7 linked regions of the Callithrix jacchus genome follow. The protein of the gene in region 2 interacts with the protein of the main gene of each other region in a pairwise test. Links are inferred from orthologs where the notes say so. Each region holds a gene or a part of one and is shown on either strand. Other genes may lie near its edges. The genes, in order: TXLNA, CCDC136, PSMD9, MOS, JMY, ATP5PO and SHFL.

Evidence for each region.
Region 1: the proteins of CCDC136 (region 2) and TXLNA interact in binary tests that used the Homo sapiens proteins (3 or more experiments, as listed by UniProt). The two-hybrid records come from large-scale screens. The link is inferred for Callithrix jacchus from reciprocal best matches to the Homo sapiens genes CCDC136 and TXLNA.
Region 3: the proteins of CCDC136 (region 2) and PSMD9 interact in binary tests that used the Homo sapiens proteins (3 or more experiments, as listed by UniProt). The two-hybrid records come from large-scale screens. The link is inferred for Callithrix jacchus from reciprocal best matches to the Homo sapiens genes CCDC136 and PSMD9.
Region 4: the proteins of CCDC136 (region 2) and MOS interact in binary tests that used the Homo sapiens proteins (3 or more experiments, as listed by UniProt). The two-hybrid records come from large-scale screens. The link is inferred for Callithrix jacchus from reciprocal best matches to the Homo sapiens genes CCDC136 and MOS.
Region 5: the proteins of CCDC136 (region 2) and JMY interact in binary tests that used the Homo sapiens proteins (3 or more experiments, as listed by UniProt). The two-hybrid records come from large-scale screens. The link is inferred for Callithrix jacchus from reciprocal best matches to the Homo sapiens genes CCDC136 and JMY.
Region 6: the proteins of CCDC136 (region 2) and ATP5PO interact in binary tests that used the Homo sapiens proteins (3 or more experiments, as listed by UniProt). The two-hybrid records come from large-scale screens. The link is inferred for Callithrix jacchus from reciprocal best matches to the Homo sapiens genes CCDC136 and ATP5PO.
Region 7: the proteins of CCDC136 (region 2) and SHFL interact in binary tests that used the Homo sapiens proteins (3 or more experiments, as listed by UniProt). The two-hybrid records come from large-scale screens. The link is inferred for Callithrix jacchus from reciprocal best matches to the Homo sapiens genes CCDC136 and SHFL.

The regions. Positions count from the first base shown.
Region 1 is NC_133508.1:68,785,030-68,789,214, forward strand, and holds the start of TXLNA (alpha-taxilin), read left to right. Parts: upstream 1-1,385; 5' UTR 1,386-1,452; intron 1,453-1,987; 5' UTR 1,988-2,019; coding exon 2,020-2,188; intron 2,189-3,260; coding exon 3,261-3,587; intron 3,588-4,185. UniProt on the Homo sapiens protein: May be involved in intracellular vesicle traffic and potentially in calcium-dependent exocytosis in neuroendocrine cells.
Region 2 is NC_133512.1:118,390,240-118,394,234, forward strand, and holds the start of CCDC136 (coiled-coil domain-containing protein 136), read right to left. Parts: upstream 2,801-3,995; 5' UTR 2,760-2,800; coding exon 2,702-2,759; exon of another isoform or gene 2,559-2,701; coding exon of another isoform or gene 2,473-2,558; exon of another isoform or gene 2,350-2,472; intron 1,902-2,349; coding exon 1,794-1,901; intron 1,688-1,793; exon of another isoform or gene 1,542-1,687; intron 1-1,541. UniProt on the Homo sapiens protein: May play a role in acrosome formation in spermatogenesis and in fertilization.
Region 3 is NC_133510.1:125,101,993-125,105,492, forward strand, and holds part of PSMD9 (26S proteasome non-ATPase regulatory subunit 9), read left to right. Parts: intron 1-671; coding exon 672-883; intron 884-3,500. UniProt on the Homo sapiens protein: Acts as a chaperone during the assembly of the 26S proteasome, specifically of the base subcomplex of the PA700/19S regulatory complex (RC).
Region 4 is NC_133517.1:12,478,820-12,481,703, reverse strand, and holds MOS (proto-oncogene serine/threonine-protein kinase mos), read left to right. Parts: upstream 1-1,287; 5' UTR 1,288-1,295; coding exon 1,296-2,336; 3' UTR 2,337-2,384; downstream 2,385-2,884.
Region 5 is NC_133503.1:131,680,389-131,683,888, reverse strand, and holds part of JMY (junction-mediating and -regulatory protein), read left to right. Parts: intron 1-1,010; coding exon 1,011-1,176; intron 1,177-1,537; coding exon 1,538-1,725; intron 1,726-3,500. UniProt on the Homo sapiens protein: Acts both as a nuclear p53/TP53-cofactor and a cytoplasmic regulator of actin dynamics depending on conditions. In nucleus, acts as a cofactor that increases p53/TP53 response via its interaction with p300/EP300.
Region 6 is NC_133522.1:39,981,383-39,984,882, reverse strand, and holds part of ATP5PO (ATP synthase peripheral stalk subunit OSCP, mitochondrial), read left to right. Parts: coding exon 1-127; intron 128-1,792; coding exon 1,793-1,905; intron 1,906-3,500. UniProt on the Homo sapiens protein: Subunit OSCP, of the mitochondrial membrane ATP synthase complex (F(1)F(0) ATP synthase or Complex V) that produces ATP from ADP in the presence of a proton gradient across the membrane which is generated by electron transport complexes of the respiratory chain.
Region 7 is NC_133523.1:9,283,112-9,287,277, reverse strand, and holds the end of SHFL (shiftless antiviral inhibitor of ribosomal frameshifting protein), read right to left. Parts: intron 4,129-4,166; coding exon 3,979-4,128; intron 2,501-3,978; coding exon 2,397-2,500; intron 2,275-2,396; coding exon 2,120-2,274; intron 1,702-2,119; coding exon 1,466-1,701; 3' UTR 1,180-1,465; coding exon of another isoform or gene 989-1,179; 3' UTR 501-988; downstream 1-500. Other genes in the region: ANGPTL6 (angiopoietin-related protein 6), read left to right, coding at 1-60, 134-404, 989-1,179.

The sequences.
Region 1 (4,185 bases), on a different chromosome or scaffold from region 2:
CAGTGACCTTTGAACTGGGCCTCAAAAGATTTTAAGTTTGACAAAAGCCAAACCTCTTATGCTTCAAATTCCAGGCACAAAGATTGTTGGGTTTGATTTCATTATCCAGAGGCAACGGGGATACAGAATTTCTGATCTCACGTGTAGAGAATTGTGTTTTTTTTCTACTTTAAACCCAGTGAGACTTTAGTAGACAGTGGGGCAGTCAGAGAAAAGGCTCTAGAATATGCCTGAAGCCTTAACTCAGCACCTTCCTGAGGAATTGACTGCCAAATGGTAAAGGAGAGGGGAAAATATGACCTATGTTCACAAGTTACCTTGACTGCCTCTGGAAAACCTGCTGTGGTGGTGTTTCTTCTGGGTAAAAGACAAGGTAGGCCGGGAGTGGTGGCTCACGCCTATAAACCCAGCACTTTGGGAGGTCAAGGCGGGTGGATCACGAGGTCAAGAGATCGAGACCATCCTGGTCAACATGGTGAAACCCCGTCTCTACTAAAAATACAAAAATTAGCTGGGCATGGTGGGGCGCGCCTGTTGTCCCAGCTACTCGGGAGGCTGAGGCAGGAGAATTGCTTGAACCTAGAAGGCGGAGGTTGCGGTGAACCGAGATCGCGCCATTGCACTCCAGCCTGGGTAACAAGAGTGAAACTCCGTCTCAAAAAAAAAGAAAAAGGGAAGCCGAGAAGTTACCTGGGTGCTGGTGTCAGAGTTAACAATTCTGAATCCGTTTTAACCACTCACTATCGATGTAACCTTGGAGAAGTTACCCAGCCTTTCTCTTTACTGTCCTTTTCCGTAAAATGGCGCTAACAGTACTTACTTCAATGAGTGCTTATGAGAATGAAGCTATTAGATACCGGAAAGCACACAGTAAGCGCTCAAGGAAATTATTGTTATTAAACACCTCCTTGGGAAGAAGGACATTAAGGCCCAGGGAGCCACAGCAAATCCATGATGAAGCTGGGACTGGAGTAGGGGTCTCCTGGGCCTCATCCCAGGACTCTATCCCTCTTCCCGATTCGTCGGAATTCCTGGATGGAGTCACATTTGTTCAAGGCCAGGGAAGAAGGCTTGACGGAGGCCTGCAGGAAACAATGCTAGGCGCAAGGCTTTAGGAGCTGAGGCATAACTTCTGCGAGATAGAAACAAGGTTGACCTGGGCATTTGCGCGGAATGACGGGCTCTTTTTGGACTCCCAGAACTACTGCCCCGTCTGCACTTTGGGAGCTGCTGCCAGCCCCAGCGCACAGAGGGACGCGTAGTCCTTTCGCTGCCCCGCCCTCAGGTCCCGCCCGCCTCCAAGGCCGCCCTCGCTTCGTCCTTCCCAGCAAGCTCCGCGCCGGCGCCGGCTATTGATTGGCTGCGGCGGGTGCAGGCTGCTCGCCGGCAGTGGTTACTCGGGGTTTCCGGTGGAGGCCAGAGCTGGAGAAGCCGTCGGACGTCGGTTGTGAGGTGCGTGCCGCGGCGACCGGTGGGAGAGACAATCGGAGGGTGTACGGGCCGGGATGTTCTCGGCCTGTGGGGAAATCACGGCGACTCCGCGCGTGGGCCGGGGGGCTGTCTAGGGCGTGTGCGCATGCGCGGGCGTGCCTCGCGGCTGGAGGGCGCGCGGGGCGTGGGTGGCTGCGCGCGCGGGGGGCGCACGTGGGTCCTGAGGGGCGGGGGCGGCGCCGCGACTCCTGCGCCCCGCCACGTCAGTCTCCGGCCCCGAGCCAATCCCGCTCTCGGCCTGCCGTGAGGGGGTTGGTTGTGCTGGGAAGTGGCTCCGAGAAGAAAAAGAGGCCTCTTTCCTCTTCCGTTGCGCTGCGAAAGCCTGCTACGGCACACCGGGCTCCCCTGACCCGCCAAGACCGGAGAGCCGTTGGCGCCCTCCGCCGGGGCCGGCCGGTCCGTTTAAGAAGCTTTGGGCGCCTGCTGTGGGGATTTCTGATCCAGACTGCGAAGAATTTCGAAGTCTGAAAAATTGCAACTGTGTTTGTTTCTAAAGGATCTCCTTCTGACCCAGCATCGCTCATCACAATGAAGAACCAAGACAAAAAGAACGGGGCTGCCAAACAATCCAACCCAAAAAGCAGCCCGGGACAACCGGAAGCGGTACCCGAGGGAACCCAGGAGCGGCCCAGCCAGGCGGCTCCTGCGGCAGAAGCTGAAGGTCCCGGCAGCGGGCAGGCTCCTCGGAAGCCGGAGGGTGTGTGCCAGCTCTGCATTGCCAGCGGGCAGGGGGAGGAGCTGTGCGCCTGGCCTCACTTCTGGATTTAGAGGCCGAGGCCAGGTTGTGCAGAGGAGGAGATGTAGAATGAGAGGGCAGTGCTGGGGCCGCGGTCCTTCCGGCGCCCTGGCGAGTTGGTGAGCACAGGAACAGAGTTCTCTTCTCTGGAGAGAAGCTCTGACAGGATTAAGTCAGGTGGCAGCCAAACGAGGCACCCAGTCAGGAAATCCAGGTCCTGTTAGAAACACCTCAGCCACCAACAGCTAACTGCCCTTCCTGGATTGAGGCATTTCTAGAACAATCTGAATGGCAAGAAGTGGTTGGTGAGGGGGGAAGGAGATGGACTAGAAGTTGCTTCATGCCAGCCCTGTGTGCTGATGCTTTACATACTTTTATGTTTGTAACCAACATGTTCGGGTGATAGTAAGAAATAGTTGTGTCATTTTACAAGTAAATAGACTTAAAGAGGTTGAGCATCCATTACCTGAGTCTGGCAAGAAAAAAAAAAAAGTTGCCGGGCACAGTGGCTCACACCTGTAATCCTAACACTTTGGGAGGCTGAGACGGGCAGTTCACCTGAGGTCAGGAGCTCAAGACCAGCATGACCTATACGGTGAAACCTCATCTTAAAAAAAAAAAAAGTTAAGCAACGATGACTATAATTTCTTTTAAAAGATGTTTCGAGGCTGGACATGGTGGCTCACGCCTGTAATCCCAGCACTTTGGGAGGCCAAGGCAGGTGAATCACCTGAGGTCAGGAGTTTGAGACCAGCCTGACCTCCATGTTGGAGAAACCCTGTCTCTACTAAAAATACAACAATTAGCTAGGTGTGGTAGTGCATGCCTATAATCTCAGCTACTCGGGAGACTGAGTCAGGAGAATCGCTTGAACCTGGGAGGCAGAGGTTGCAGTGAACTGAGATTGCATCATTGCACTCCAGCCTGGGTGACAGAGTGAGACTCCATCTGGAAAAAAAAAAAAAAAGTTTTGAATCTAAATTCTGACAGGAACTAGATTTGCTGTCTTCTTTCTCATTCTTTCCTGCTTTAGGGGCACAAGCCAAAACAGCTCAATCTGGGGCCCTCCGTGATGTCTCTGAGGAGCTGAGCCGCCAATTGGAAGACATACTGAGCACATACTGTGTGGACAATAACCAGGGGGGCCCAGGCGAGGATGGGGCACAGGGTGAGCCGGAAGATGCAGAGAAGTCCCGGACCTATGTGGCAAGGAATGGGGAGCCTGAGCCATCTCCAGTAGTCAATGGAGAAAAGGTACCCTCCAAGGGGGAGCCAGGCACAGAAGAGATCCGGCCGAGTGATGATGTGGGAGACCGAGACCACCGAAGGCCACAGGAGAAGAAAAAAGCCAAGGGTTTGGGTGAGCAGAGAGTGGCTCTTTGTGCAGCTGGTGAGGGGAGGGAATTTGGACTTGATGTTCTCTGGGCAAGTCTGTTCTGCCAGGATTCAGAGGAAATGGTACTTCTCAGAGCAGCAAGTCACCCTAGTCTAATCAAAGCCAGGGATGTGGGAGTCACACATAGAAAGATGCAGGGGTTTCCAGCACAAGGTCTTCTGGCTTTTGGAGCAACGGGAGGTTGATGTGTGACCTGCTCTTTGAGACAATGGAGAGCAGGAGGTCCGGGTAGCCTCCTGTGCCAGCCAGTACTACCTGCCTTGTGACCTTGGGTGTGCCCCTTCTCCTCTCTGGGTCCTAGTTTCTACTTCTGTTTACAGTAAGAAAATCAGACTAGCCCAGAGTTGGAAACCCAAATGTCTACATAAGCTGGGCTGCCTATGGGGCTCCATGAAGATAGAGCCTACTTTAGCCAAAGGCTTTATTGCTATTTAGTTAGTTGCTCTTAACTAGGCAGCAGCCAGCCTTTTTTTTTTTTTTTTTTTTTTTTTTTAAGAAAAGCCAGAAATCTAGATCTCTAGATTTTTTCATAGTTAGCAGCTAAAATGGTAGGAGCCAAACA
Region 2 (3,995 bases):
TGGTGCCACCTTGTGTTCCCCAAGGAGCCCCTAGTCAAGACCTGTATTCAAGATGAGTCATCAGGTGTGAGGGTCAAGTTGAGAGGCAGCCCCTCCACCTCCCAGGCCTTTCCTGGACCAATGTTCACTTGATAGCCTCCTACCACTGCCTGTGGGCAGGCTGGTGCCTGCTCAGCCATGAGACACTTGCACAGGATTATCTGCTTCTAGGCTACCCTCTGAGCAGTGGAACAAGTAATCAAGAAAGGAGACAGTGAGCGGATCTTTAGGTCAAATGAGGTAACAGTTGCAGTTTGGAGATTTCTAGAAAACAAAACAAAACAAAAAAACTGGCTGGGCGCTGTGGCTCATGCCTGTAATCCTAGCACTTTGGGAGGCTGAGGCAGGTGGATCACTTGAGGTCAGAAGTTCCAAACCAGCCTAGCCAACATGGTGAAACGTCTCTACTAAAAAAAATTAGCTGGGCGTGGTGGTGGGTGCCTGTAATGCCAGTTACTTGGGAGGCTGAGGCAGGAGAATTGCTTGAACCTGGAAAGTGGAGGTGGAGGTTGCAGTGAGGCAAGATCAAGCCACTGCACTCCAGCCTGGGCAACAGAGTGAGACTGTGTCTCAAAAAACAAACAAACAAAAAAAACCCAACCAAAAAATATCCAGGTGGCTTGTGAAAAATCAGCCTTTCCATGATAAGAAAGCATTGCCCATCGGCAGGTAGGGAAAGGAAATATCTGATTGTAGAGGTTTCATCGGACAAACTCTGGAGCCCTTTGAAATCATCAAATACCTGTTTCAAATTTTCTAGAAGGTCCACCTCGTTTTTCCCTGTTGGCTGTCACAGGTCTCCTCTCCCCTAGCTGAGGAGGCCCCTCCTGCTCTGCTGACCACAAAGCAGTTTTCAGGGGAAGTCTTAGCCTGTACCTGTGCATAAAAGAAACGCTGCCATTCTAATGCATTAAAGAACTGGGGTTTGGTGCTGGCCCCCAGCCTCTGGTTGCGAGCACCCCCTCCTTTACTGCAATGCAGTTCCTATAAATAGCAAAATGTTGTCTGAATGGTGATTGTTTGCTTTGTTTTAAAATTCTGAATCTCTGGTCTTACTTTCTCTAATATCAGCAGCCTTAGGTTCATGTGGGACCCCTCGTGCCATCTGCCCCCCTTAGGGGGAGCAGGTTTCCCTATACTGAATGTGCAACGTGCCACACTTCACAGGAAGTCCTGGAAAATGGACCAGCGTCCTTCCAGGGGCCTGGTGTTGGCAGCAACTGCCAAGTCACATGGGTGTGGTGGGGACACACGTGTATTGGGAGGATGGCCTCACTCGCCCCCTCCTAGGCTTTCTCTTTCAGGCAGTAAGGTATCCGAGAGAACCAAAGCCACAGGCTTCCATTCGAAGTTAATGGTGGTGGCCCCAGAAAGACAATTCACATGCCCACTTCCTTGCTTTTTGAAAGAAGAGACAGCTTGGGATCTGGGTCGGCAGGCAGTGAGAACAAACCCCCTGCTGAAAAGCTGCTTCAAAGCTCTGTCCAACAAGGCCTCTCTCTGTCTGGCAGCTCCCTCGGGACACACAACCTGGTTAGCTGAGTGATTGGGGTCCCAAAGGGGTGCACTCTGAACTTCTGTCGAAGTCTGAACCCTGGGAAGGGCTGGAGCTCTGAGTTGCAGGAGGAGGGGCTAAGACGAACTGAAGGTAGGGCTGTGTCCTGGCTCAGAGGCCTGAGGGTCAAAGGGAAGAGAGGGAAGGGGATTAACGGAGGAGGGGAAGGGGAAGAAAGAAGCCTTTTGGGAAAACTCACCCTCCATAGCTTGCATCCCCCGTCGTTCCAGGGACCCCCAGCGTTGGCCCTTCTTCCTCTCACAGCCCTCCGAAGCCTCATAGGAGCCTAGAGTGGTCACTGTGGGTCCTGAGAGCAGGGCGAAAGGAGGTGCTGAGGGCTGGGGTGCAGAGGAAAGAGGGAGGCATGGCTTCCAGCCCCTCGGAGCCCTGGGATCTGGAATCCCAGTGGAGGTGCCTGACTCACTCTGCCGGCTCTACGTCTCCCCTCTCTCGGCTACGTCTCACGCTCTGCCTGCGGGGACCCCAGCCCTGCCGCCCAACCGCCTCAGACACTCCTGGTTCCAGGCCCCCCTTGCTTGCACAGACAGAAAGAGGGGGTGTGTGTATTTAGCCCCGGGGGACAGGGAGGAGAGAGGAAAGACTGAAAGAGGGCGGGAGCCAGTGAAAAGAGGCTGAAAGGGTGAGGCGGCCTACAAAGAGAGGGAGAGAGGGAGAGAGGGAGGGAGGGAGGGAGGAGTGGGGGGCGTGCGTGAAGGGATAGGGCTGCGGCCGCTCCCCTCCCCTCCCCTCCCCTCGTATTCTCTTACTGGACCTCGCCCACCCCACCCTCGCCCAGCGCTCTGGAGCCTCCGGGGCTGCAGGGGGTGCGGGGTCTGGAGCCCCGAGTACTGGAAGCACCGTCGGGCTTGAGTGGAGAGATGAGCTGGGGAGGGACCTACAGGCAGGATGCGGCCGGTGCGCAGAAGCCCCAGCCCCAGGCCGGAAAGATGGAGACCGGGCCCAGGTGGAGGCCAGGATGGAGGGAGGAAGGCTTCGGGCGGAGAAGAGGGAGCCGCGGAGTCCGGGAGCACCTGGGGGTCTGGAGGGAGGAGGGATGGAGGAAAGAAAGGAGGGGCGGTGGAGAGGTGAGGGACGGGCGGCTCTGACCTGGGCCCTGGCAGCTCCAGCCCGCGGCTCCCGCGCTGGTTCCGGCGCCCGCCTCCATGACCGCTCCCGCCGCCGCGGCAGCTTCCCAGAGCAGAAGCCGCAGCCGCGAGCCCGGGGACCGGGAGCCGGGTGCGCAGGGAGGAGGGAGGGCGGGCGAGGGGGCGGGGCCTGGCCGGGCCTCCTGACACCGCCCCCCGCTGCCCGCCGCCGCCCGGAAGCCCTCCCAGCACCCAGGAGCTCCGAGTGGGTGCTGGGGCGGCGCGGGAGGGTGAGCGCGACCCCAGATACCTCCCAAGGCTCTCCCCGAGGGAGCGCCGGGGGCCGCCGGGCCGGGACAGCGTCGGGAGCTCTCAGGCTTCAGGCTGTCCCAAGAGGGAGGGGTGAGATCTCCTGGTTCTGGCGGCGGGTCCCGCGGGGTCTGCTGTACGCGGGGACCTTCCGCACCAGGTGTCAGGGCCCGGTCATGCTCAGCAATGGGGACGGCAAAGGGCAAGGTGGGACTGTTTCCTCCAAACGCGCGGACACGTGCGCCCCTTCCTCCCCCACCCGGCCGGCGCCCCCACCTGGCAGCCGGCGCGGACTCCGGCCTCAGGTCCCTCCCAGCCCCGCCCGGGGGCCCCTTGGCAGCTTGGGGGCCGGAGAGATGGGCTAACGCAGGGCCCTGACCTCTCCGCTTTCCGCGCACCCTCCTCCCCCCAGCCAGGGCCAGAGACCCTCTTAGGAGGGGCCCTCCGATGGCCCCACCAAGCCTCAGGGCCCGAAGACCCCCCCCTCCTCCGTTCTGCCTTCCCTTCCGGTCCCACACCTGGTGGGCTGCGAGCCACGCCCCCACTGTCGCCCACTCGAAGTGGGCACGACTGATGGTCATTCTCTGGAAGTGAGATTTGGAAGCCCAGGCGGCTTATTTCGCGTCTTAACCATTGCTTTATTCAAGGAATGCCTGCTGGGTGGGTGCCGGCTCTCTAAGAGGCAGTTCTCACACCCCGGCAGGTCTCAGCAAGGATCAAAGTGGGTACAGTTGGGAACAGGGGCTTCCCAGAACATCCAGGAAACGTCTGGGAGATTCCTAAGCCGGGGACACACGCGGATCCCCTCTCTTGCACATCCATTCCCAGGTCGAGGGCTAGGATTGTCTGCGTTCCCCCAGCTGCCAGAAAGGGGTCCGGATCCCGACAGAGAGAGAGGGTTCCTGGATCTCGAGCAATCGAGAATTCAGGGCGAGTCCATAGAATAAAGTGAAAGCAAGTTTATTAGGAAAGTAAAATAATAAAGAATGGTGGGTTGCCCATTTTTA
Region 3 (3,500 bases), on a different chromosome or scaffold from region 2:
TGGTGCCATCCTGGCTCACTGCAGCCTCCACCTCCTGGGTTCAAGCGATTGTCCTGCCTCAGCTTCCTGAGTAGCTGGGACTACAGGTGTACGCCACCATGCCCAGCTAATTTTTGTATTTCTAGTAGAGATGGGGTTTCACCATGTTGGCTAGGATGGTCTCGATCTCTTGACTTTATGATCCACCTGCCTCAGCCTCCCAAAGTGCTGGGATTACAGGCATGAGCCACTGCGCCTGGTCGAAAAGTGAAATCTTGATTACACCCACCCCAAGTCATTCATTCACATGACTACAAAGCCAGATCCACGTATGCCTTTGAACTCATGGCTATGGATTCAGCCAGACGTTACCTTCCTTATGCTTACCTCTCAGGGCTCACCGAGACAGCACTGCCTTCAGGAAGCCCTCCCTCATCTCCTAGACTAGCGAAGTCAGACTCTGCTTCTGGCCAGGCCTCCCTGCAGTCATCAGATGTTATTGTAATTACTTATTCTGGAGCTGCTCTTTGCAGGACTGAATGCTCCATGAGGGAAGGTCCTCTTTCTTGATCAGGGATTCATCCTCGCCTCTAGCCCTAGATCTGGTGTTGAATAAGAACTTGTTAATTCTTCAGTGAGTCTTGTGTCCTCCGCCGTCTTCCTTGGCCCCTGACGTGTCATTCTTTTCCCAGGCCTGCAGAATGATCATAAGGCGGTGATGAAGCAGGTGGAAGAGGCTCTGCACCAGCTGCATGCTCGCGACAAGGAGAAGCAGGCCCGGGACATGGCTGAGGCCCATAAAGAGGCCATGAACCGCAAACTGGGCCAGAGTGAGAGCCAGGGTCCTCCTCAGGCCTTCGCCAAAGTGAACAGCATCAGCCCCGGCTCCCCAGCCAGCATTGCGGTAATCCAGGGCTTGGCCACTCAAGTCCATGCCCAGAGGACACTGTGGGTCAGGTAGCCTTTGGGGGTATGGAAACTCTGTAAGACAGACCAGCTCCTTCTGTGCTGTGGTGCTGAGTTCAATTACTCATTTAACAAACTGTCCAGCTGGGTGCAGTGGCTCATGCTTGTAATCCCAGCACTTTGGTATGCAGAGGTGGGTGTATCACAAGGTCAGGAGGTCAAGACCAGCCTGACTAATATGGTGAAACCCCATCTCTACTAAAAATACAAAAAAAAGTAGCCAGGCATGGTGGTACGTGCCTGTAATCCCAGATACTCAGGAGGCTGAGGCACGAGAATCGCTTAAACCTGGGAGGCAGAGGTTGCAGTGAGCATGTACTCTAGTCCAGCCTGGGTGACAGAATTTTAGAGAGGGATCAGCCCCGGCTGCCAACTGCATTGGTGGGGGAGTGACCTGTTCCCAGTGACAGATGATAAATGTCCCAAGAGAGGGAAGGAGGATTTTTTCTTGGGGTTCATTTTAGCTGGGCACTGAATGATAAAAATGAAAATGAAATCCTGCCAAATGCGTTATGCATCTTACCTGGTGTGTTTAAAAAAAAATTAGGCTGGGCACAGTGGCTCATGCCTGGAATCCCAGCACTTGAGAAGGCTGAGGCAGGTGGATTGCTTGAGTTTAGGAGTTTGAGACTGGCCTGAGCAACATAGTAAGACCTAACTCTAAAAAAAAATTTAGCTGGGAGTGGTGGCATACACCTGTGGTCTCAGCTACTTGGAAAGCTGAGATGGGAGAATCACTTGGGATTTGGAAGTTGAGGTTGCAGTGAGCTGTGACTGCACCACTGCATTCCAGCCTGGGTGACTGAGACCTTGTCTTAAAAAAACTTTTTTTTAGGCCGAGGTGGGTGGATCACGAGGTCAAGAGATCGAGACCATCCTGGTCAACATGGTGAAACCCTGTCTCTACTAAAAATACAAAAAATTAGCTGGGCATGGTGGTGTGTGCCTGTAATCCCAGCTACTCAGGAGGCTGAGGCAGGGGAATTGCCTGAGCCCAGGAGGCGGAGGTTGCGGTGAGCCGAGGTGCCATTGCACTCCAGCCTGGGTAACAAGAGTGAAACTCCATCTCAAAAAAAACAAAAACAAAAACAAACAAAAAAACTTTTTTTTGACTGGGCGTGGTGGCTCATGCCTGTAATCCCAACACTTTGGGAGGCCAAAGCGGGTGGATTGCTTGAGGTCAGGAGTTTGAGACCAACCTGGCCAACATGGCAAAATCCCGTCTCTACTAAAAGTATGGAAATTAGCCGGGCATGGTGGTGGGTACCTGTAATCCCAGCTACTCAAGAGGCTGAGGCAGGAGACTCGCTGAATCCTGAAGGTGGAGGTTGCTGTGAGCTGAGATGCCACTGTACTCTGGCCTAGGCAACAGAGTGAGGCTGTCTCAAAAAAAAATTAACAGCTTTATTGAGATATAATTAGCATACCATAAAATTTGCCCATTTAAAGTATGTATATAGCCTAATGTCTTTTAGCATATTCACAGAGCTGTGCATCCTCACTACAATCAATTTTATTTCTATTTAAAAACTTTTCAGCCAGGCACAGTGGCTTATGCCTGTAATCCCAGCACTTTGGGAGGCCTAGGTAGGAGGATCACCTGATGTCAGGAGTTCGAGACCAGCCTGGTCAACAAGGCAAAACCCTGTCTATACTAAAAAAATAAACATTAGTTGGGCATAGTGGCGCGTGCCTGTAATCCCAGCTACTCAGGAGGCTGAGGCAGGAGAATCACTTGAACCCAGGAGGTGGAGGTTGCAGTGAGCCAAGATCTCTCAAAAAAAAAAAAAAAGAGAGAGAGAGAGATGGGATTTTTCTATGTTGCATATGTTGGTCTCGACCTCCTGGACTCAAGTGATTCTCCCACGTTGGCCTCCCAAAGTGCTGAGATTATAGGCATGAGCCACCATGGCCAGTCATAATCAATTTCAGAATATTGTCATTGTCCTCTGCAGTGATTTGCCATCACCTCCCAATCTCCCAACTCCCCCACTCCCAGTTATCTACTTTCTGTCTCTATGGACACATAACTGACTTGTGTCAGTTCCTGACGGGTAGAATGGGGTCCTAAATCCGGGTCCTGCCAGTCTTCTTTAGTGATCACAAGTCTGTAAGTTACATAGAAGCTCTGTTTCTTTCACCACCCCATCTACAGCATCTAGCACAGTGCTGGTTGGCCCACAACAAATACTTGTTAAAGAGGTGAATGAGTGATGGTCTGTGTTCTTAGGACCTAGAGCAAGAGCGTCACTCTAGTCCTGGGTCCGCCTTGTGCCTGTGGCTGCTTGTGTGGGGGCTTCTAGGGCAAATGTCCTGTCTACATTTTTTTTTTTTTTTTTGAGACAAAGTCTCACTCTGTTGCCCAGGCTGAAGTGCAGTGGCGTGATCTAGGCTCACTGCACCCTCCTCCTTCTGGGTTCAAGCGATTCTCCTGCCTCAGCCTCCCAAGTAGCTGGGACTACAGGCATGAGCCACCATGCTTGGCTAACTTTTATATTTTTAGTAGAGATGGGGTTTCACTATGTTGGCCAGGCTGGTCTTGAACTCCTGACCTT
Region 4 (2,884 bases), on a different chromosome or scaffold from region 2:
GAAAATTACTTTTTTTTCTTAGAGTCAGGGTCTTGCTCTGTCATCCAAGCTAGTGTGCAGTGGCACAATCATAGCTCACTTCAACCTCAAACTCCTCATGCCCCAGCCTTCAAAGCAGCCAGGGCTACAGGAGTGCACCACTACCCCCAGCTAACTTTATAATTGTTTGTAGAGGCAGATCTTGAATTCCTGGCCTCAGGTGGTCCCTCCACCCCAGCCTCCCAAAGCACTGGGGTTACAGGCATGACTCACTGTGCTTGGTAGAAAATTAATTTTCATTATGAAAATCAGAAAGGAAGAACTTATTGATGGCCAGAACCCTGAATTTCATTTCAACTTCCGGTTTTCTACATTATATGTAGGTACCAGTGATTTTATGCCACTTTTTTCTTTCAGATTTTTCCTCTTCTACAATTCTCCCATATGTGTTATTATTTGAAGCCCTGATCACAGTTCTGAATTATTTCTGTTCTTTTTTCTCCCCTAATGCTGCTTTAAAACTTCTGTAACTCATTTGCTAGAAAGTCTAGAATCTCTCTTGCAAATAAGCTGACCGGGTGGGCCAAATCGCCTTGGAAGGGAAGGATTGTTAGGAAGTCAGTATGTTGCTAAGACATCTTGCTAATTTGCTGTGTACGCCCATAGAGCGTCAGGGAAGTCTCCTTTCCACTGATGAATTCAGGTGTGTGTTACGACCTGTATCAGCGATTCTGTTTGGATTGATTAAGGCTGCAATTTTTTATCCACATGAATGTTGCACCTAGTTTTCCCCCGTAATTGGTTAAACAAATGTCTGCTGTTTGTATTTCAACTCTCAGCCAATAACTGCTGGAAGTGATTTAATGCAGCTGGAGAACAACACTGACAAACATTACGGCCTGCGAAGTGTGAAACAATTTCATTGTGCTTTGTGATCTCTTTGGTCTGAGGACTGATCATGTGCAGCGGATGAGACCTGAAAAAAACTTGTTTTATTACAGTTAAAGAAATAATGTAAAAGTGGGGTGAGTTCTGGGGCAGCTCTGTGCTGTTTATCTGGAGAGAGCTTGTTTTTACAAGAATTCACTTCAAGTGTGGAAGGGAAATGCTTTCATCTGAAAGGGATTGCTATGCTTCATTCTGGTTTCTCCCTCCATCTGATAAAAACCCTTGCTGAGTGACAGCACAGATGTAGCTCATTTGGAGCAAATGAAGGAAAAGGAGAAAAAGGCTAGGGGTGGAGCTTCCAAAGTCCCGCGGTTTTTTCTGGTCTTTTCATTCACCCCAGCGGCCCTGGTGTCCCCCTAGAAAGTGCGATGCCCTCGCCCCTGGCCCTACGCCCCTACCTCCCGAGCGAGTTTTCCTCGTCGGTGGACGCGCGGCCCTGCAGCAGCCCCTCCGAGCTCCCTGCGAAGCTGCTTCTGGGGGCGACTCCTCCTCGGGCCCCGCGGCTGCCCCGCCGGCTGGCCTGGTGCTCCATTGACTGGGAGCAGGTGTGCTTGCTGCAGAGGCTGGGAGCCGGAGGGTTTGGCTCGGTGTACAAGGCTACTTACCACGGTGTTCCTGTGGCCATAAAGCAAGTGAACAAGTGCAGCAAGAACCGACTAGCATCCCGGCGGAGTTTCTGGGCCGAGCTCAACGTGGCAAGACTGAGCCACGACAACATCGTGCGCGTGGTGGCTGCCAGCACGCGCACGCCCGCGGGCTCCGACAGTCTAGGGACCATCATCATGGAGTTCGGTGGCAACGTCACTTTACACCAAGTCATCTACGGCGCCGCCGGCCACCCTGAGGGAGACGCAGGGGAGCCCCACTTGCGCACTGGAGGAGAGTTAAGTTTGGGAAAGTGTCTCAAGTACTCCCTAGATGTCCTGAACGGGCTGCTCTTCCTCCACTCGCAAAGCATTGTGCACTTGGACCTGAAGCCCGCGAACATCTTGATCAGTGAGCAGGATGTCTGTAAAATTAGTGACTTCGGTTGCTCTGCGAAGCTGGAAGAGCTGCTGTGCTTCCAGACACCCCTCTACCCCCTAGGAGGCACATACACCCACCGCGCCCCGGAGCTCCTGAAAGGAGAGGGCGTGACCCCCAAAGCCGACATTTATTCTTTTGCCATAACTCTCTGGCAAATGACTACCAAGGAGGCGCCCTATTCAGGGGAGCGGCAGCACATACTGTACGCGGTGGTGGCCTACGACCTGCGCCCGTCCCTCTCCGCTGCGGTCTTTGCGGACTCGCTCCCGGGACAGCGCCTTGGGGACGTCATCCAGCGCTGCTGGAGACCCAGCGCTGCGCAGAGGCCAAGCGCGCGGCTGCTTTTGGTGGATCTTACTTCTTTGAAAGCTGAATTCGGCTGACTGAAAACCTGGGTCAAGATAAGCTTTTGTCTATTTGTTGTTGTTGTTGTTTTTTTAAAGGAAGTGGAGATATCGAAGAAAACATATTTGTAGGATACAGTTTTAGAGAATAAAGTTACTAAAAATTTTAGTCTCCAGTGCTTTTTCTGAGACACATAGTTCCAATTCTCGTACCTGTTGTCTCAGTACTGTTAGTAACTAACCTTATTAATTCATATCGTTATATTCTTTGCCTTTCATAGGTAGTATTGCATTTATTCAAATTTATTATTGATAAAACAGTTTGTCCAACACAGAACTCTACTGCAGAAATGTAAACATTTTCTATAAATCCACACATATTCCATGCCTACCACATAAATTCCAACTATTAACTATGTACTTGCTCCCACACCAAATCAGTAAAAGCTTTTTAAAAATAAGTAATGCTTTCCTATTACTCTCCCCAGTAAAACTTGTTTGTAATGACCTTCACACATAGAAGCCATAAACTGAGATATATTTACATTCAAAGGAATTATAAATGACCTAATGTAATATTTTTGTGC
Region 5 (3,500 bases), on a different chromosome or scaffold from region 2:
TTTCAGATTCCTGGCAAAAATTTTCCCACTCCAGGACCAAGAACTAACCAACCAAACAAACCACGGAAGACTATCTACCACTTTATGAGCCATGCCCAGGCATTTCTGAATCTCACTTTAAGTTCAGCCTAGGACGTTGATTACATTTACCTAGAGAGATACCTTATGGATTACAAGGATTTCCATCTAAAGCAATTCTCTTCTGCTGTTCCACTCACATACTCTCACCTCACTATCCAGTCAACGGATCCCAGAACCTAGCCAGGCTGTGAACATAGAACAAAGCAAAACACCAGATACTTGGCATTAACTAGCTTTTACCATTCTTGTAAATATCTGAGAATGACCCAGTCATTTTCATATATCTCATGTGAAAAAAGCAACTACATAACTTAGCATCCACTTTTGAGAGTGAAAGGGGACATTATTAGCATTTATAACCAGACGATCAATATTACCATAAATAAGTATGACATAAACATTAAAACCTTATTTTTACCATGTTTGCCTACTTCCACAACCACATATGTCTTATTACTGCTACATATATGTATTTTTAAAGTCTAGATTCCATGCCCACAAGTTTCTTTCTGAAATCAGTTATTTCGTGGGTTTATGCTGTCTGATTAATACTAATTTTTTTTTTTTTTTTTGAGACAGAGTCTCACTCTGTCACCCAGGCTGGAGTGCAATGGTGGCTCACTGCAACCTCCACCTCCTGGCTTCAAGTGATTCCCCTGCCTCAGCCTCCTGAGTAGCTAGCACTACAGGCACGTGCTACCATGCCCAGCTAATTTTTTGTATTTTTAGTAGAAATGAGGTTTCACTGTGTTAACCAGGTTGGTATCAATTGCCTGACTTCGTGATCTGCCCACCTCAGCCCCCTAAAGTGCTAGGATTACAGGCATGAGCCCCTGCACCCAGCCTTAGTATTAATTTTTAATTCTAACTTGATTTTTTTTCATGTCCCCACCAGCTAGAAATATTTTAATTTGTATTTTCAAATGCAGATGCAGAGTTTGCAGGGTGGTACAGAAGCCATAGCCCGATTGGATCAGTTAGAAGCTGACTATTATGACCTGCAACTTCAGTTGTATGAAGTACAGTTTGAAATCTTGAAGTGTGAAGAGTTACTATTGACAGCACAACTAGAAAGCATCAAAAGACTTATATCAGGTATGGTATGCATTTAACTGCATAAGTTTACAAAAGATTGAATATGTGAGAAAATGCATATGGACACCAGATATGTTTCTTCTGTTAAGATGTTAAAAAAAATTGTTTTTTATAGGGATAGAGTTGGTGGGGGTGATGTCTAGCATTTATTGAACACTTGCTGTGTGCCAGATACTGCTAAACACTGTGCATACATTCATTCTATGAGGTGTATTAAATAATAATCACCATTTATAAAGAAGCTTGAGAGGTGATGGCTTTGCCTAAGATTACAGAGCTAGTAACCACATTAGAACCCTGTTCTTTCTGAACCCACAGTCCATATTCTTAACCAGTACTCTTTTTTGCTGTTCTATAACAGAAAAAAGAGATGAAGTGGTGTACTATGACACTTACGAAAGCATGGAGGCCATGCTGGAGAAGGAAGAAATGGCAGCGTCTGCATACTTACAGAGAGAAGAGCTGCAGAAACTTCAGCAGAAAGCACGCCAGCTGGAAGCAAGACGTGGACGGGTTTCTGCCAAGAAATCCTACCTCAGAAATAAAAAGGTATTTAAATATTGCTTTTGTTCATTGCTTAGTCTTTTATCCATATCTACTAATTTCATCTGTTTTGTCCTTAAAACTTGCCTGTGTTTTAAAAAACTAAGTAAGTGCTATCTCTTGTCAATGCTCGATATGTTTATAGTGCTTTGAGAATTGCCCTCTTAAACACACTGGAACAGCCAATAGTGATGTTCTCTTTACCTCCAGAAATACAGTGACTCTGCTAAAGGGCACGACTACAGGATCCCTGATAATGCGATTCCTGGCTCCCTTTTTATTTAAGGAAGCCCAGTAATGTGTTACAAGTTTTGCTTCTGACCTTAGTCTTAAAGGAATTTTATAGATATTTATTTATTTAACTTTTATTACATTTCAAAATGTTTGATTCTTGATATTTGGAATGATTCATTTTGTGGAAATGTGATTCTTCCTATGTCTTAGAAAATGTTTTGCACTGTAGTCCAGATATTAACTATTGTGGAGCTGTTTTAGTCACTGTAAGTGTGGAGTTGAAATCTGAAACTAGCTCAACAACCTAGACCAAACTGATGACTGTGTGGTACTGATTTACTTTAAGCTGAAGTATTATGAAAGTATGTCATGTTCTCTGAGAACCCACCTTCCTGCTCTTCACCACATTCCAAGGCTATGACTGCCTCGTTTTACAGAAAATCAAAGACCTTTGCTTTTTGAAATAGATAGTTCTTGCACATTAAAGAAACTCAGGCAGACATGTCTCCGCAGTAAGTCAAGAACCCAGGACCTTCTGTCACTTTGTCCATCAACAGAACAGTTACCTTGGCATCCAGAGCCATGACTTTCAAATAATTATGTGCCTTTGCTATTTCCCCATGATGGTAGTAATTGAAACCCACTGCTGTTTCAGCCCTGGTATGAGCTTCATTTCGTGTTCCAGTCTGCATCAACCAAGTAAACATTCAGGCCAGGCGTGGTGGCTCATGCCTGTAATCCCAGCACTTTGGGAGGCCGAGGTAGCTCCATCATCTGAGATCAGGAGTTTGAGACCAGCCTGGCCAACATGGTGAAACCCTGTCTCTACTATAAATACAAAAAATTAGCTGGGCGTGGTGGCACACGCCTATAATCTCAGCTACACGGGAGGCTGAGGCAAGAGAATCATTTGAACCTAGGAGTGGAAGTTGTAGTAAGCTGAGATGGTTCCTTGAACTCCAGCCTGGGCAACAAGAGTGAAATTCTGTCTCAAAAAAAAAAAAAAAGCCATTGCAGTGATTTCAGCAGGTCATATAGAACAGTTTTAGGGGAGAATGAAAAGTAAACAAGATTTCAGAAGAGCACACTTTTTAGAAATGTTAGGAGTATTTTATCTATTACTTTTAGGTGTATAATGCAGGACTTTTGAGACTAGTTGGAATTTGCAAGCCTGCAGGTTTTTGAAAATGCTGTGCAATTCAGACTTAATTGAAAGTCTGATTTCTTTCTTTCTTTTTTTCTTTTTTTGAGATGGAGTCTTGCTCTGTAGCCCAGGCTGGACTACAGTGGTGCAGTCTTGGCTCACTGCAGCCTCTACCTCCCAGGTTCTGGTTCAAGCAGTTCTCCTACCTCATCCTCCCAAGTAGCTGGGATTATAGGCACGAGCCACCATGCCCAGCTAATTTTTGTATTTTTTAGTAGAGACAGGTTTCACCATGTTGGCCAGTCTGGTCTTGAACGCCTGGCCCTGTGATCCGCCTGCCTCAGCCTCCCAAAGTGCTGGGATTACAGGCGTGAACCACTGCACCCAGACGTCTGATTTCAGT
Region 6 (3,500 bases), on a different chromosome or scaffold from region 2:
ATCCTGAAGGAACCCAAAGTGGCTGCTTCTGTTTTGAATCCCTATGTGAAGCATTCCATTAAAGTGAAAAGCCTAAGTGACATCATAGCAAAAGAGAGGTTCTCTCCCCTCACGACGAACCTGATCAGTGAGTATGAGAACTTTTTCATTTGAGGTGTCTTCAAACTGTGATTGGAAATGTGGTCCATGGCCCGTGGGCATCAGCATCACTTGGGAGCCTGTTGGCAGTGAGGCATCTCAGGCCTCACAGCAACCTGCTGAATCGGAGTCTGCATCTTAACCAGCTCCCTACGTGAATTGTTTGCACATTTAAGTGTGAGGGGCACTGTCTAAAGGATACTAGGACCTAAGTGTGTCTAACTGAATAGTCAGTGGTTTCAGCCATGGAGGTGGCCAATGTAATACCTACCAAGAAAGCCACAGGTTTGTGGCCTGTGGCTGTACCTTGATCCTTAGAGACATTTGCATTCTCAGATACGTTTGGACTGCTTTTCGTTTTCTTTTTCCTTTTTTTCTTTTTCATTTTTAAGACATAGTCTTTGTCACTCAGGCTGGAGTGCAGTGGCACAATCTCAGCTCAGTGTAGCCTCAGTCTCCCAGGCTCAAGCCATCCTCCCACCTCAGCCTCCCTAGTAGCTGGGAATATAGCACACACCACCACGTCCAGCTAATTTTTTTTATTTTTTGTAGCGATGAGGTTTCTCCATGTCACCCAGCCTGGTCTTGAACTCCTGGGCTCAAGTCATCTGCCTGCCTTGGCTTCCCAAAGTGCTGGGATTACAGGCGTGAGCCGCTCCGCGGCTGGGGTCGCTTCTCAGATCCTCATAGCCAGCTCAAAAGTTCCAAAGAAAGTATATTCATGTTATCATCTTTGAATTCGTAGCCAACATTATAAGCTATAACCTAAAATGAAAATCAGATTGCAAGCTGAGTATAAGAAGTCTGTTGCAGATTCGTATGGGTGAGAACTCCCCATACTTACTAATTTGAATCCTTGTCAGTATGGTCTATTAAAAAAATAAAATTGGATATGCATTTTAAATAACAAGTTGTATCTTCTCCATTCATTCTTTTTTTTTTTTTAACTTTAGACTGGATGTCCCTCTCTTGTCACCCAGGCTAGAGTGCAGTGGGACAGTCTCGCCTCACTGCAACCTCTGCCTGCTGGGCTTAAGTGCTCCTTCTGCCTCAGCCTCCTGAGTAGCTGGGACTATAGGCATGCACCACCACGCCCACCTAATATTTGTGGGTCTTTTTGTAGAGACAGGGTTTCACCGTGTTACCCAGGCTGGTCTAAAACTCCTGGACTCAAGAAATCTGCCCACCTCAGGCTCCCAAAGTGCTGGGATTACAGGCATGAGCCACTACACTCAGCCTCTATTCACATTCTTAAAGGACATTGAATATACTGTGACTTTTAAGAGACAAGATCTTACTCTGTCACCCAGGCTGTGGTGCAGTGGCACAATTATAGCCCACTGCAGCCTTCAACTGCTGGGCTCAAGCAATCTTCCTGCCTCAGCTTCCTGAGTAGCTGGGGCTATAGATACGTACCACCAAGCCCTAATGTTTTTTATAGAGACAGGGTCTCACTATGTTGGCTGGTCTTGAACTCATGGCCTCAAGCAATCCTCACACCTCAGCCTCCAGTAGTTGGGATTATAGGCATGCGCCACTCAATATGGTGTTTTAAAGCCAGAAATCTAAGTTTGTGTTTTGGGTTAAGTATACAGCTTCATGAATAACTTGTTCAAGTGAGTTTCATGTTACTGAAACACCTTCACTTCACCAGATTTGCTTGCTGAAAATGGTCGCTTAAGCAATACCCAAGGAGTTGTTTCTGCCTTTTCTACCATGATGAGTGTCCACCGCGGAGAGGTTCCCTGCACAGTGACCACCGCATCTGTAAGTAACGGGTTGTTGCTGCTGTCTTGGCCTTGATGTTACATATGTCGCCTTTTGCAGAAAAGGGAAAAAACAAGGTAAAATCAAGAAATTGGAAAAAGTAACTTGTCAGCTGGGATGTTTCCTTCATTTTTATATCAGCTTCTGTGACCCTTTGCTTTGGAAACATCAGCATACATCTTATTAGTGCTTCTGTAACCGGTGATTATTCATAAGGCCTGGGTGAAATGGAAAGAACATCAAAATGTGTGAGAAAAGGGTGGTTTAGAACTACCACTTGAAGTAGTTTACTGAAAGTGCAATGGCACAATCTTGGCTCACTGAAACCTCTGCCTCCTGGGTTCAGGTAGTTCTCCTGCCTCAGCCTACCGAGTAGCTGGGATTGCAGGTGCCCACCTCCAAACCCGGCTAATTTTTTTTTTTTTGAGACAGAGTCTCACTCTGTCACCCAGGCTGGAGTGCAATGGCGTGATCTCAGCTCACTGCAGCCTCTGCCTCCCAGGTTAAATCAAGTCTCCTGCCTCAGTCTCCTGAAAAACTGGAATTACAGATGCGTGCCACCATACCCAGCTAATTTTCTCTCTTTCTTTCTTTCTTTCTTCTTTTTCTTTCTTTCTTTTTTTTTTTCTTTCTTTCTTTCTTTTCTGTCTTGCTCTGTCACAGTCTGGAGTGCAGTGCTGTGATCTCGGCTCACTGCGCCTTCCGCCTCCTGGGTACAAGCAATTCTTCTGCCTTAGCCTCCCAAATAGCTGAGATTATAGGCACGCGCCACCACACCCAGCTAATTTTTGTATTTTAGTAGAGATGGGGTTTCACCATGTTGGCCAGGATGGTCTCAATCTCCTGACCTCGTGATCTCGGCCTCCCAAAGTGCTGGGATTACAGGTGTGAGCCAACACACCCAGCCAATTTTTATATTTTCAGTAGAGACGGTTTCATCATGTTGGCCTGGCTGGTTTCAAACTCCTGACCTCAGGCGATCTGCCTGCCTTCGCCTTCCAAAGTGCTGGGATTATAGGCGTGAGCCACTGCACCCAGCCTGAGTTTATTTTTTTGAGACAGAGTCTCACTTTGTCACACCTCACTGCAGCCTCAACCTCCTGGGCTCAGGTAATCCTCCTGCCTCAGTCTCCTGAGTAGCTGGGATTACAGGTACACCCCCACCACACCCAGCTAATTGTTTTCTATTTTTGTAGAGGTGGGGTTTTACCGTGTTCGTCAGGCTTGTCTCAAACTTCTGGGCTCAAGTGATCCACCTGTCTTGGCCACCTAAAGTGCTGGAAGTAGAGGTGTAACCCAGCCTGAAACTAGAGTTACTAATCTTTCCTCTTTTGTGGTGGCAAATGGGAAGGAGTAGAGCAGATGGGCCTTTGTATCTTTTTGACTTGATAGAGTGGGGTATAATGGGCTACCATTTATTGAACGCTACTCTCTGCCGAGTTCTTCATTATTTTATACACTATCAAAAGATTCATGTGAGATAGAAGTGTAATTATCCTGATTTTACAAATGAGGAAACCGAACGCAGGAAAATGAAGTCACTTACCCAAGGTCATTACGAGGTGGGACCAGAATTTGAACACAGGCCTCTTAGA
Region 7 (4,166 bases), on a different chromosome or scaffold from region 2:
GTGATCCAGCGGAGGCAGGATGGTTCGGTCAACTTCTTCACTACCTGGCAGCACTACAAGGTGGGCACAGGCGGGCAGAGGCAGGGCAGGGGAGGGAGCCTCTTCTGGCCTCCTGACTTTCCTGCCCTTCCAGGTGGGCTTTGGTCAGCCAGATGGAGAATACTGGCTGGGCCTTGAACCTGTGTATCAGCTGACCAGCCGTGAAGACCATGAGCTGCTGGTGCTCCTGGAGGACTGGGGAGGCCGTAGAGCACGTGCCCACTATGATGGCTTCTCCCTGGAACCCGAGAGTGACCACTACCGCCTGCGGCTTGGCCAATACCATGGTGATGCTGGAGATTCTCTTTCTTGGCATCACGACAAGCCCTTCAGCACCATGGATAGGGATCGAGACTCCTATTCTGGTAAGGAGAACTCTTATTCTGGTGGGAGGATAGGGGAGACGGGACTCCTGTTTTGGTGTGGGAATAAAAGGAGATGGGATAGGTAAGACGCCCCTCTTTAAGTATTAAGATAAGCAAGCTTTTATTCTGTCAAGAGAACAAGGGACAGTACTTTTATTCTGGTGAGGGGACAGGGAGCCTACATTCCTTCTCTGATGAGGCAAAAAAAAAAAAAAGGAATCAAGACTCCTGTTTGGGTGAAGGGCAGAGGGTGAAGGCTAGTACTCTTATTCTAGAAAGGAAGTAGATAATTACTTTCTTTTATTTGATAAAGGAATAAGCAGTAGACTCCTAGTTTGCAGAGAAGGTGGGAAAGATGTGACTTGTACTTTGGTAAGGAGATAGGGAAGGAATTAAGGCTATTACTCTGAAGAAAATCGGGGAGCCAGGGCTCCTATTTTGCTGAGGAGATGGAAGATCAGGGCTTGTATTGAATAAGAATAGGAGGGGCCAGGGGATGCCTGGCAAAAGCCTTACACTGTGAGGTGCAGATAGAGGCTTTTATTCTGATAAGGGGACATGGACTCTCTCTCTCTCTCCCCTAGGTAACTGTGCCCTGTACCAGCGGGGAGGCTGGTGGTACCATGCCTGCGCCCACTCCAACCTCAATGGTGTGTGGCACCGTGGTGGCCACTACCGAAGCCGCTACCAGGATGGTGTCTACTGGGCTGAGTTTCATGGCGGGGCATACTCTCTCAGGAAGGCCACCATGCTCATCCGGCCCCTGAGGCTGTGACTCTGTTCCTCTGTCCCCTAGGCCCCAGGGGACATTGGTCAGCAGGAGCCCAAGTTGTCCTGGCCACACTTTCTTTGTGGCTCAGTGCCAATGGGTCCCACGGAACTTCCCCTCCGTGGATCTGTGACCCTGGGTGCTGCAAATGGGACCCAGGAATCCCCCCCTGCCAATATCTCGGCCCCAGATGGCTCCCCAAGGTCATTCATATCTCGGTTTGAGCTCGTATCTTATAATAACACAAAGTAGCCACAGACCGTGTCTGGTTTGTGTCTGCACCTGGCAGGGGTCACTCCCTGGGCCTGCCCTCCTCTTCCTCCACCTCCTCCTCCTCCTCCTCCTCCTCCTCTTTCAGGTCCTCCAGGATGAGGTTGTCCAGGTCTTCCAGGAGGCCCCCCTGGCTCAAGCAGGTGGCCACAGTGGAGCCACTGCTGATGTGAGGGTTGCTGGGGTGGAGCACTTTGGGCAGGTGGTTCTGCTTCCGGCTCTTGGGGTGAGCACAGGACGTCCCAGGCACGTGGGGCTCTAGGGAGGGAAAGGTGTTGCTGGCATGGGGTTTGAGGTCCTGGGAGAGTCTGAGGAGGAGGGGGCTGAGGCCATTCGGGGCTATAGGGAGGAGCTGAGGCCACAAGATACGGGGAACAGAGTGACCAGACATTCAGAGGTGTTGAAGATACAGGAGACCCAGGGACATGGGGAGTCACCTGAGACTACAGGGGACAAAACAGGGGCCCCAAACCCAGAGACCATGGGGGCAGAGGCCATAGGGACCCTCAGGTATGGACCCTCAGAGCCTCGTGGGCAAGAGCACGGAGACTGGGGGGCCACCTAGAAGCAGTGGCTGCTGCCGTGGGAGATGAAGTGGACTGAATGGAGATTTGGGGACTTAAAGGGACAGAAGGGGATGAAGACTGCCCAGGCTGTTAGGGGAGAAGAGCCTCACCTCGACGGTTGTAGCAGTCAGCAGCTGAGCAGGAGTGAGTGTGGGTGCTGCGGCGATCCGTGTCCCGGTCCCAGCGCGGGGGGAGGATCCGTGTTGGATACACGGGGAAGCCGCACCCGTAGCAGGGAGACGGGGACCCCATCTGTGCCCAGCCCCTGGGGGCGGGCAGGGCTGTGAGGGTCCGAGGGCGAGGCTGGGCCAGGGTGGGGCCAGGGCAGGGAGGGGCAGGGCTGGGGTGGGGTAGGGCTGAAGGGGAGCTGGGGGTCAGCGCCCTCACCGGAAGTTGTGCCGACACTTCGGGCAGTGGAACTCAGCCAGGCCCCACATCTTGTCGGCTGGCACTGGCTCGTAGCGCTTCCGGCATTTCCGGCACCGGGATACCTGGTGGTGGTGGGGAGGCGGGTGTGGAGAGGGGACCAAGGGTTGTTAGAGGGTCAGGGGTAACTGTGCTGCATCGGCTGGCCTGAGCTTGACCAAGGCAACTCAATCAGCGACTTTATATCCATAGCTTGATATTGACCATGGTGGGAATATTTACACCATGGAAATTGGCAAACACTACACATCTCGGCTTTCTGCCTCTTTTGCAAGACTTAAGCATTGAACAGAAGCAAACTACTGGTCAGGAGGTTCAGAGGCCAGATTCGGGGCCGTGTTTTTGAGGTCAAATTTGGTTTCTTTCTTTTTTTCTTTTTCCTTTTTTTTTTTTAAGAGACAGAGTCTTGCTCTGTCACCCAGGCTGGAATGCAGTGTTCTGATCATGGCTCACTGCAGTCTCAACCTCCCAGGCTCAAACAAGCCTCACACCTCAGCCTCCTGAGGAGTTGGGACCACAGGCACACACCACCACTCCCAGCTAATTAAAAATTTTTTTTGCCAGGTGCAGTGGCTCATGCCTGTAATCTTAGCACTTTGGGAGACTGAGGCAGTAGACTGCTTGAGCCCAGGAGTTTGAGACCACTTGGGCAACATGGCAAAACCCCATCTCCACACACACACATACAAATATAAAAATTAGCCAAGTATGATGGTGCAGGCCTGCAGTCCCAGCTACTTGGGAGGCTGAGGTGGGAGGATCACCTGAGCCCAGGAGGTGGAGGCTGCAGTGAGCTATGATCACACTGCTGTACTCCAGCCTGGGTGACAGAGTGAGACTCCATCTCTTAAAATTTTTTTTTTTCTTTTCTCGCCCTGTCACCCAGGCTGGAGTGTAGTGGTGCAATCTCGGCTCACTGCAACCTTCGCCTCCCAGGTTTAAGCTCTTCTTCTGCCTCAGCCTTCTGAGTATCTGGGATTACAGGTGCCCACCACCAGGCTTGGTTACTTTTTGTATGTTTTAGTAGAGACAGGGTTTCACCATCTTGAACAGGCGGGTCTTGAACTCCCGACCTCATGATCCACCCACCTTGGCCTCCCAAAGTGCTGGGATTACAGGTGTGAGCCACGGCACCTGGCCCAAAAAATTTTTCTTTGGAGACAAGGTCTTGCTCTATCACCCAGGCTGGTCTCCAACTCCTGGGTTCAAGCAGTCCTCCCTGCTTAGCCTCCTAAAGCACTGAGATTGCAGCCACGAGCCACTGCACCTGGTCAAGGTTGATTTCTGTAGTAGCTGTTCAACTGTGGGGTCAGGGGTCAGGCTTTGGGGTAAGGGGTTATTGGGCTTCTCACGTTGAAGGTCAGAAGTCCAGTCCTGGGCCAGGGGTTGGGATCAGAGATCAGGGCTGCGCTCTGAGTTTGGAGGTCAGAGATTGGGCTCTCAGTGATTGAAGCCCATTAGGTCAGAGGTACAGTCACTGAGGATGGGAGTTGGGAGTGGAGTTCAGGACAGTCAAAGTCAAGGTTAAGTTGTGGGTCATCACCTCCTTCCGCTGGGGCACGCGGCGCCACCAGACGTGGTCGCAGGAGGAGCAGGCGAACTGCCGGTCCACAGCGGGGATAAGGTCGTCCTGGGCCCGTTGAAACATGCGTAGGTTGGCTTCTGTCAGCGGCAGGAGGGAGGTCGCCACTGCCTGTGGAATGGGGCAGGAATGGGGCAGGTGGGGATGAG